2 linked regions of the Cricetulus griseus genome follow. The protein of the gene in region 1 purifies or fractionates together with the protein of each later gene. This does not show direct contact. Links are inferred from orthologs where the notes say so. Each region holds a gene or a part of one and is shown on either strand. Other genes may lie near its edges.

What was found. Proteins that work in one complex are often made in the same cells at the same time.
Region 2: the proteins of insulin receptor substrate 4 (region 1) and Tuba1a purify together in Homo sapiens (affinity purification with mass spectrometry; 3 studies listed by BioGRID and IntAct, with this or other methods). This does not show direct contact. The link is inferred for Cricetulus griseus from reciprocal best matches to the Homo sapiens genes IRS4 and TUBA1A.

The regions. Positions count from the first base shown.
Region 1 is NC_048604.1:38,769,668-38,773,998, reverse strand, and holds the start of insulin receptor substrate 4, read right to left. Parts: upstream 2,926-4,331; coding exon 1,359-2,925; intron 1,326-1,358; coding exon 1-1,325. UniProt on the Homo sapiens protein: Acts as an interface between multiple growth factor receptors possessing tyrosine kinase activity, such as insulin receptor, IGF1R and FGFR1, and a complex network of intracellular signaling molecules containing SH2 domains.
Region 2 is NC_048595.1:395,417,869-395,422,303, reverse strand, and holds the start of Tuba1a (tubulin alpha-1A chain), read left to right. Parts: upstream 1-1,584; 5' UTR 1,585-1,681; coding exon 1,682-1,684; intron 1,685-2,969; exon of another isoform or gene 2,970-3,264; coding exon 3,265-3,487; exon of another isoform or gene 3,488-3,624; coding exon 3,625-3,773; exon of another isoform or gene 3,774-3,830; intron 3,831-4,029; coding exon 4,030-4,435. UniProt on the Homo sapiens protein: Tubulin is the major constituent of microtubules, a cylinder consisting of laterally associated linear protofilaments composed of alpha- and beta-tubulin heterodimers.

The DNA.
Region 1 (4,331 bases):
TAAAAGATCTGAGAGGCGGATTGCTGGATTTGGAAAGGGCACCTCTAATTCAATATTCATGTAACTGGAAAAAGCTGTGCGTCTGGGGTCAGTAACTAAGCCCCATGAATCTGGCAGTCCTTGAGCAGAGGGAGTTGGCACAGGGCGCTCTCTCTTAATGAAGTCAGTGTTGATATAGTCACCAGAGCTGTCAGCTCCTCTCTGCTCCTGTGTGGGCTCTTCTGGTTTGGGCTTGATTTTGTTTCCTTTTGCAATAAAAGAAAGTCGGTTAGGTCTCTTAGCCTTGTTCACTGGGGGCTCGTCATCTGAAGGCTTTGCAGGTGACTCCCTATCTCCAGGTTTTGAGAATGAGCCCTCAGTGGAAGGCTTTGAAGACACATCTTTGGTGCCCTGGCTAAAGGAGGCTTCTTTGTCTACACCCCTCCCCAGGAACTTCCCAGGCAACATTGGGACATACTCACTGTGGTCGCTCTGTCCCAAAGGTGAACTCTGAAAAGGACTCGGCAGAGAAAAGTAAGAGCTCCAACTTTTGGAGGAAGAGCCTCCCTGAGGATTGGGGGGATTTTTAGGAATTGCACCTGCTCCAGGAGCCATAAACATGTAGTCACTGTCACTGTCATTGTCCTTAGAGTCATCCTCTTTATTAGTATCCGGTGCTTTGGGGGGACTTGGGACAGGTGGTGGTGGACTCACTCTGGGAAACATCATCATATATCCTCTGGAATCTTCGAATGGTGACCTAGAGTGGCGGCTTTTTGAAGCAGAGGAATTTTGAGGTGCCATTGGCATGTAGTCACTGGAACATGCAAGAGGGGAAGCCACCCCTGGCCTCATTGGCACGTATGGGTCATCCTCGTCTTCATCGAAAGCTCTGGCTCTGTGAGGCCCCCGGGTGGCACCTTCTGGAGTTTCCCTATCTCTCCTCTCTTTGGCTTCTTTGCGTTCTTTTGTGGCCCCTCTGTCTGCACAAAAATAAAGTCGGAATCTTCCCCCAGACTTGCTTTTTCCACCAGTTGCTCCTCCGGCTGGCGGGGGTGGAGGAGGAGGTGGAGGCAGCATTTGCTGTTGCTTGCTTTGAGTGAATTTACCAAAGTATGATCTTTTCTTCAGAGATTTTCCACGGTCACCGTCATCCGAGTTTTTCCCACTTCCTGAGCCCTTGCCTCCTCCTGAGTTCTTGCCGCCACCTGAGCCATGACCATCTCCAGGTCTCCGGCCACCACCTGAGCCATGGCCACCACCAGGCCTCTGGCCTCCACCTGATCCATGGCCACCTGCTGTGCCCTGGCCATTTCCTGAACACTGGTTTCCTCCAGCACCCTGACCTCCTGAACCCCGGCCTCCTGAGCCCTGGCCACCTCCAGATCCCTGACTGCCACCTGAGCACTGGTTTCCTCCTGAGCTCTGGCTGCTGGAGCCTTGGCCACTTGAGCCCTGTCCACCTCCAGAGCCCCGGCCATTTCCTGAGCCCCAGTAGTACATGGGCATGTAATCACCTTCGTTTTCTTCCTCACCTTCCTTGTCTTTTTCTTCAGAGTTGCCAGAGTTGGAGCCCGAGGCTTCACAAGCTCTGTCGTAAGAGGCTTCTTCAGGGTGTGAGACACGTACCGGCGGGCTAGGTGCTAGGCGGCGGGAAAAGCTGGGTGGTCCTGAAACAGCTCTCCTGGACCTGCGGGCTCTGGGCAGGTGCCCCCTTTCTCGCCTGGAGGGAGGCAGAGGCTCGTTGAGTATGAGGCGTCTGGTAAAGAACATCTCTTCCCTGTCTCCGATAGCCCTGAGGTGGCAAAACTGCTCAAAGCGGGATCTTCGGAGCCAGCCGCCGGGCTCCAGCGGGAGCAAGCCCAGGTGCCTCCTAGTGGACAGCAGGGTTAACAGGTGGGCGCCAACGCCGATGCTGTAGCTGCGGCATCGGGCTCTGTACTCATCTGCGCACAAGGCTCTCATCTTCTCCAAAAACAACTCATGCATATTTTGGGCCACCACACAGTCATCTACCTGCATCCACAGCTCCCCTGGACCGATGACAGTGGACCTGCCGACTTCCAGGAAGAAGTACTGCTCTGAGTGCCCACAGCGACGAATGCTCAGCAGCTGGACGACCACACTGGCCACTTCGGTATTGAGCCTCACAAACACAACCTCTTCGTCGGTAAGACACAGCCGGAACACGCCGCTCAGCTCTTTTCTGTGCCCCAGCCCCCTGGGTTTCACTACTACCTGCCACACATCTTTGTAGAAGGGTGGCTCCGCCGCCGCTGCTGCCGCCAGGGCCGCCGGCTCTCCGTCCGGCTGCGCGCCTAGCAAGCCGCAGCGGCGGCGCTTGCTCTCGAGGATGAGGCGGCTGAGGAGCAAGTACCAGCTTTCTTGTTCCGACTCGTTCTCGGCCACCATCGCGAAGTACTCGTCCTGGGTGAAAAGGGCAATAAGGTGTCGGTACCTGGCATCAGCTCGTTGGCTCACGGAGAAGCACTGGTACAGGGTGATCACGCGTCTCGGTGGGATGAGCGCGGGGACCGCAGCACCCGAGGCGGCAGCTGCTGCCGCAGCCGCCGCGGCGCGGACACTGAGGCGGAACTTCTTGGCATTTTCGTAGTATTCCAGACGAGCCGGGGCGTCTGCGGTCTCGAGTTTGAGCACGAAGTAACGCCTGTGCCCATGCTTCTGTTTCCTCAGGTAGCCGCGTTTGCAGACTTCATCCCCGACGGGGAGGTCCTCCTCTTCGGACTCGGAGTCTGACCGGGAGCCAGTGGCCGTGGGGAGCCACATAGCTCCCGGACAGGACGACCGGGTCCCAATGAGTGCGGTCGGGGTTCCCGAGGAACGACGCCGGGTGGTCGCCACTGCTGCTAGAGCTGTGGAGGCTGCTGCTGCTGCAGCTCTCAGTCTCCTTAGTGCTCGGTCGCCAGCGAAGGAGCAACTCGCCATGGGGATGCACCGTGGTTTTTAAGGTGAGCGGAGGAGAGGGGGGGCTCGAGAAGGGAGGGCTGGGGGAAGAGGAGGTCCCCCCTGTCTGCCCGCCCCAGACCCCTCCCGCCTAGACCCGCGTCCCCGCCCACTTCGCTGGGCTCACAGCGGCGGGCAAAACAACACGTGACTGTCGCCTCACGCGGCAGCCCTCTCCAGATCCAGCTACCCGAGCGGTGGCGGGGAGCAAGTGGCCACCAGTAGAGGTGTGCAAGGAAGGGGCACCGGGGGCCACGGAGGCAGAGGCATCTTCAAATTGGCAGAGACCCTTTGGACAAATCACTGTGCCTTTGATCCTGGGCAGAACCGACGGGAGGAGGCGGGGCTCTCTAGCCAGACCAAGCCTAGTCCTGAGTACCAGAAGGCTGGGGCAGTGGGTGGATGTGAAGGGTGGAGAACAGAGCGTCCCGCCACCGGGCCAGAATGGGGAGTCACAGCCCACACTCGATAGGCTGAAGGGGGCTAGAGGTGGTGAGGGGAGATGGGACTTGCACAGTGAGGAATGGTTTGTTTGTTTATTTAGGAAGCGGGGGGGGGGAACTAGGTGAAACCTTTATAAGGTTCTGATTGGCTAGGATACGAGCCAATGGGAGGGTCCAGCAAGGGGGTGGCCCTGTATTCATTAGTTTAGTGAAAGGGGGGGGGGACGGAGATGAGGGGGCGTGGCTGGGGTCCCAGAGTGGGCTTCTCAATCTGGTTGTCTCAGGATCAGGCAGTAAACAACCCTCGGAAAATAGCTGTTAATGGTGGTGATAAATTCCTGCAAATCCCAGAGCCATGGGGACCCCTCTGCCTGGAGAGCTCTCTCTTGCCTCCCTACAGCTCACAAACATTTTCCTTTCTGATGGCAGTCTGCTCTAGTCCCTCCCGCTTCTCACTATGAACTGTGCTCCTTAGCCGAAAGTGTCAATAATCTCTGGAAACCTGTTAAAGACCTGGGTCCTCAGACCTGCTGCACGCCAAAGCTGCACACGCTTCCTCGCCCGCTCCACACCTGACAAAAGCCAGCGACTCTTAAGACTCAGGAATAGCAGCTATGCCTTCAAAATTAACGCCATCTGTACACAGTGTATTTCCAATCCACGAAACAGGTTCGCTAGAGGTAGCGTTTCTATTTGATTGATGACGACTATGAAAGTACAAATTTGGGGGCCTGCAAAGTGTACAGCCATGTTGGAAAAAGCCGGACTTGAATCTTACCGAAAAAGAGTGTTGAGCTGTCATGATATTTTCTCGAGGGCAGTGCTTTGAACGGTGCCTTTTAAGGAATTAACAAATACTAACTTTTTTTTTCCTTGAAGCAGACTGGAAAACTTTACAAAAAGAAAGCTCCTATGTAGAACAAAGGACTGTGCTGAATACATGTC
Region 2 (4,435 bases), on another chromosome or scaffold:
ACACCCGCTCCTTGTCAGCCCTGCGGAATGAATGGACTCCATAGAGTCCACTGGAAATAGTCTGCCGAAAACCAAGACTCTGCTATGAAAACTAAAAGGGAAATCATCTGTCAAAATCCAAATTTTCAGCTTGGTGCCCAAACAAATATCTCTTAACCTCTGAAATTTCTTCCAGCAAATATTCAGTGGTCTGCAGCTCAGAGACATGCTTTATATAGACCATCCTGGCCGATAATGGAGGCTTTCTAAATAGAAAGAATGCCACTGTAATCCATTTCCTAGGGGTGAAAGCAAGGCATTTTTGTCCCAATGGCCAATTGAGCAACAACCACAGACTCTAGCTGAATAGCAGTGGTGTGAGGAGCTACTGTTCCCACAGTTAGAAGCCCAACTGCAGAAGGGGCTATTTACAGAATTTAGGGAACTACGTAAAATGAACTGCAGACGGGCTGACATTGCACAGTTGTCTGGGATGAAAGCAACATTACAAAATGGTTTCCTTTTATATTATATAACTCTTCTCTGTTTTTAAAAATTTGGTATCTCAGTCATGTTTTACTTGATATCACCCCTCCCCAAAGAAGAGCAATGCAGAAATATAAGCCCACGCAAAGAAAGAGCTAGTTTTAAAACTCAATTCTTTCTCCTTATAGTTTCGGAACCCTGTATTGGAAAGGATAGCTCATTTCTACAGATAAAATAGCACAGGCTCGGGGGAGGGGAGTGGGTGTGGAGGGGTGGTAGGGAGTGCTGTCCGTAAACAAAGCTAGCTCTATGGTGAACTATAAATTCTGTTTTGTATATTATTTCTCTTTAGTTCGTTCTCTTTTGCTTTTTTGTGACATGATCACACACTATAATCCACGCTGGCCTCAAACCAGCTGTAATCCTCCAGCCTCAGCTCCTCCAAGGTTGGGATTTACGTGCCAGTTAGGGTGACCTTGAACTGCAGATCTTCCTGCCTCTGAACCCCAGCTGCAGTTTAGATTACGATGCTGGCCTATTCTTAGTGGGCTTCTGAATCTTGTTCAAACAACAGTAACAATAACTGTAAACATCGGCATTTACCCAAGCCGTTTGGACCATCATTTCTATCTCTGCTGGTTTTTTAAAAGCAATTAAAGACTTTGGATCCTGAGGGAATATGGTCAAATTTAGTGTACTGTGTATGAAATGCTGGAATTTTCTATTAAAAAAAAAAAACCATAAAGTCTGTGATTAAGTGTAGGGGAAAACCTTGGATTATTTTAACTATAGTTTAAGGTTTAAGTCATGTATAATCACCCAGCCCCGATTTTCTTTCTTCCCTTCCCTCCCCTCCCCTCCCCTCCCCAGCCCCACCCCATAATGGATGCTCCGCTAGTTGCATTTGCTCAGCCTTTGTCTGAGGATGCAAAGTCTACGGATGCTAGGGGGAAGGGGTGGGGGAGAGATTACCTCATACCATGTCGCTTGCACCAATCACCACTCTCCTGTCGCGGCTTCTCTGGGCAGACGGAGGGGTCTGGACCAACAGGAAAAGGCCGTGGCCCATCCCCATGGTGACCGAGCTGTATATAAGGAGCCGCATCCGCCCATGTGCCGCAGGTTCTCTTACATCGACCGCCTAAGAGTCGCGCTGTAAGAAGCAACACCTCCTCCTCGCCTCCGCCAACCTCCGGGCAGCCGCAAAGCAGCAACCATGGTGAGCCAGCCTTCTTCCCTGGTCCTCCGTAACTGGGTGGAATCAGTCTCCCGAGATCTTCAAGGGAAAGCCTAAGTCTTTGTCACCCCTGCGGGGAAGGGTGGTCTCAATGCTTTGTTAAGTTGAGCTTTGCGCGGAGTCCGTAAATCCCGCAGCCGCAGTGCGGGGCAGGGAAACGCCCAGACCCGGGGAAGAACAAAGGCTCCTGCGAGTGTTTGCTCGCACAGCCTGGGCCGTCAGGGCGGGGGTTCACGGCTAGAGGGGTGCGCTGCGGCGGGCGAGCAGGGCGGCGGCCGAGCCCTCACTCCAGAAACGCCGCCCCACTTCTATGGGAAAATGGTTAGTTTGCGTCGGATCCATGGCAGCCGGTGTCAGGGAGGCGCAGGGGCGGGGTTGTTTGTCTCTTGCTTCCGTGGCGTTTTGGGAGGGGTTCGCCCTCTCTAAACTTCCCTCGGGAGTGGTTTTTGTATTTTTATTTTTAAAAAATTGCTGTGGAACTGTAATCTTACAAGAGGTTTTGTTTGCTTGAGTGTCAAAAGTACGATTTACTTAACACCAGGACATCTCGCTGGGGAGAGAGGGGCTGGATAGTTGGTGAGGTTGCCTCGACTACCCTGATTGTCAGAACCCAGGGAAACGCCCTTCCCCACCCCCCACCCCCGCAGACAATGAAAGTTGTAGCTTTAAAGACAATAGAAAACTATCTCTATAGAATAAATAATACTAATATATTATGTGGTATGTAAAGATTCATCGAATAAAATACCATTTTCTAGTTTTAAATGTTATCTTTTTACTCGGTTTTTATTGTTGGCCCTTGTTTCTAACTTAGCTTTAAGAATATTTTGCTTCTATATAGTGGAAAAGATTCTGGAAAATCTTCATTATCTAATGAAACTGCTGCAAGGAAAAAAATTATACTCCGTATCCAACTGTCTTTTGTTCTAATACATCTTCACTAATTCATTATTTCAGGCAAATGGCCCAGACAGGGTTAAGAGGGTTAGGAAACTGAAAGCAGCGAGGGGATCGTATAGACAGCTGCTGGAAATAGAGCTTTCTCTGTTAAATAATGTAACAAAGGGCACAGGCTAGCACCAGGCACAGCAGACACAGCAATGCAGAAGTCACACTTTGTCTAGTGCTGATGAGTTCTGCAGAAGGGTGTGGCTCCTGCCCGCAGCCGCAGTACTGATGTCCATGTTGAAATACCAGATCACAAAAGATGAAGCATTCATCTTTACTTATCAGGAAAAGAAGCAATTAAAATAATTCCAGACAATTATTTCACTTTACAGTATCAGTGTATTAAGTATTTTTCGAACATGAAAACTCTTCTATTTAAGTATGGCTGTGAGAACAATGGGTTTGCACCAAGTCTTAGTATTAAGGTGACATTATTCAGACCACACCCCTTTGCAGTATTTGTATCAGGTACTCATTATTGTTTCTGTCATATGAGGGATATGACTCCAAATAAATTTCAACAATATTTGTGTTATTAGAAACACTTTAGAAATCTATTAAAATCTAAAATAGAAATACAGCTTAATTTCATAATTTTTCCCCCTTTTCCACAGCGTGAGTGCATCTCCATCCACGTTGGCCAGGCTGGTGTCCAGATCGGCAATGCCTGCTGGGAGCTCTACTGCCTGGAACATGGCATCCAGCCTGACGGCCAGATGCCAAGTGACAAGACCATCGGGGGAGGAGATGACTCCTTCAACACCTTCTTCAGTGAGACAGGCGCTGGCAAGCATGTGCCCCGGGCCGTGTTCGTAGACCTGGAACCCACAGTCATCGGTAAGTGGGCCAGGGGTTTCCCTGAGGCATTCTGTCCTGGTCACATACTCAGAACCTCTCCACACACCGCCGAAGAGTGAGTGAGCTTGTGTGTGTCAGTTACTGTTGTGAATGGTTGATTTCATCTCCTTTTCCAGATGAAGTTCGCACTGGTACCTACCGCCAGCTCTTCCACCCTGAGCAGCTCATCACAGGCAAGGAAGATGCTGCCAATAACTATGCCCGTGGCCACTACACCATCGGCAAGGAGATCATTGATCTTGTCTTGGACAGAATTCGCAAGCTGGTAAATACCATAGATGGATGGGTTCATTTAAAATGCAGTGTGGGGGAGTGTTGGGACCTGCCAAAATAAGTAAAGTCTGTTCACTACATTAATTAAGTAGACTTGTACATGTGGTCTATGGGTCATGAGATCATTTTTAATACCAATTCACAATTTTTTCCTTTCAAGTAAATGTGGTTTGCCATCTTGAGGAATTGCAAGCAGTGCTGAGAGTATGCCCTGTTGATAAACAATGCCTGTTCTTTTTTTCCTACAGGCTGACCAGTGCACAGGTCTTCAGGGCTTCTTGGTTTTCCACAGCTTTGGTGGGGGAACTGGCTCTGGGTTCACCTCCCTGCTGATGGAGCGGCTCTCTGTCGATTATGGAAAGAAGTCCAAGCTGGAGTTCTCCATCTACCCAGCCCCCCAGGTTTCCACTGCTGTGGTTGAGCCCTACAACTCCATCCTTACCACCCACACCACCCTGGAGCACTCTGATTGTGCCTTCATGGTAGACAACGAGGCCATCTATGACATCTGTCGTAGAAACCTCGACATTGAGCGCCCCACCTACACTAACCTAAATAGGTTGATAGGTCAAATTGTGTCTTCCATCACTGCTTCCCTCAGATTTGATGGAGCCCTGAATGTTGACCTGACAGAATTCCAGACCAACCTGGTAC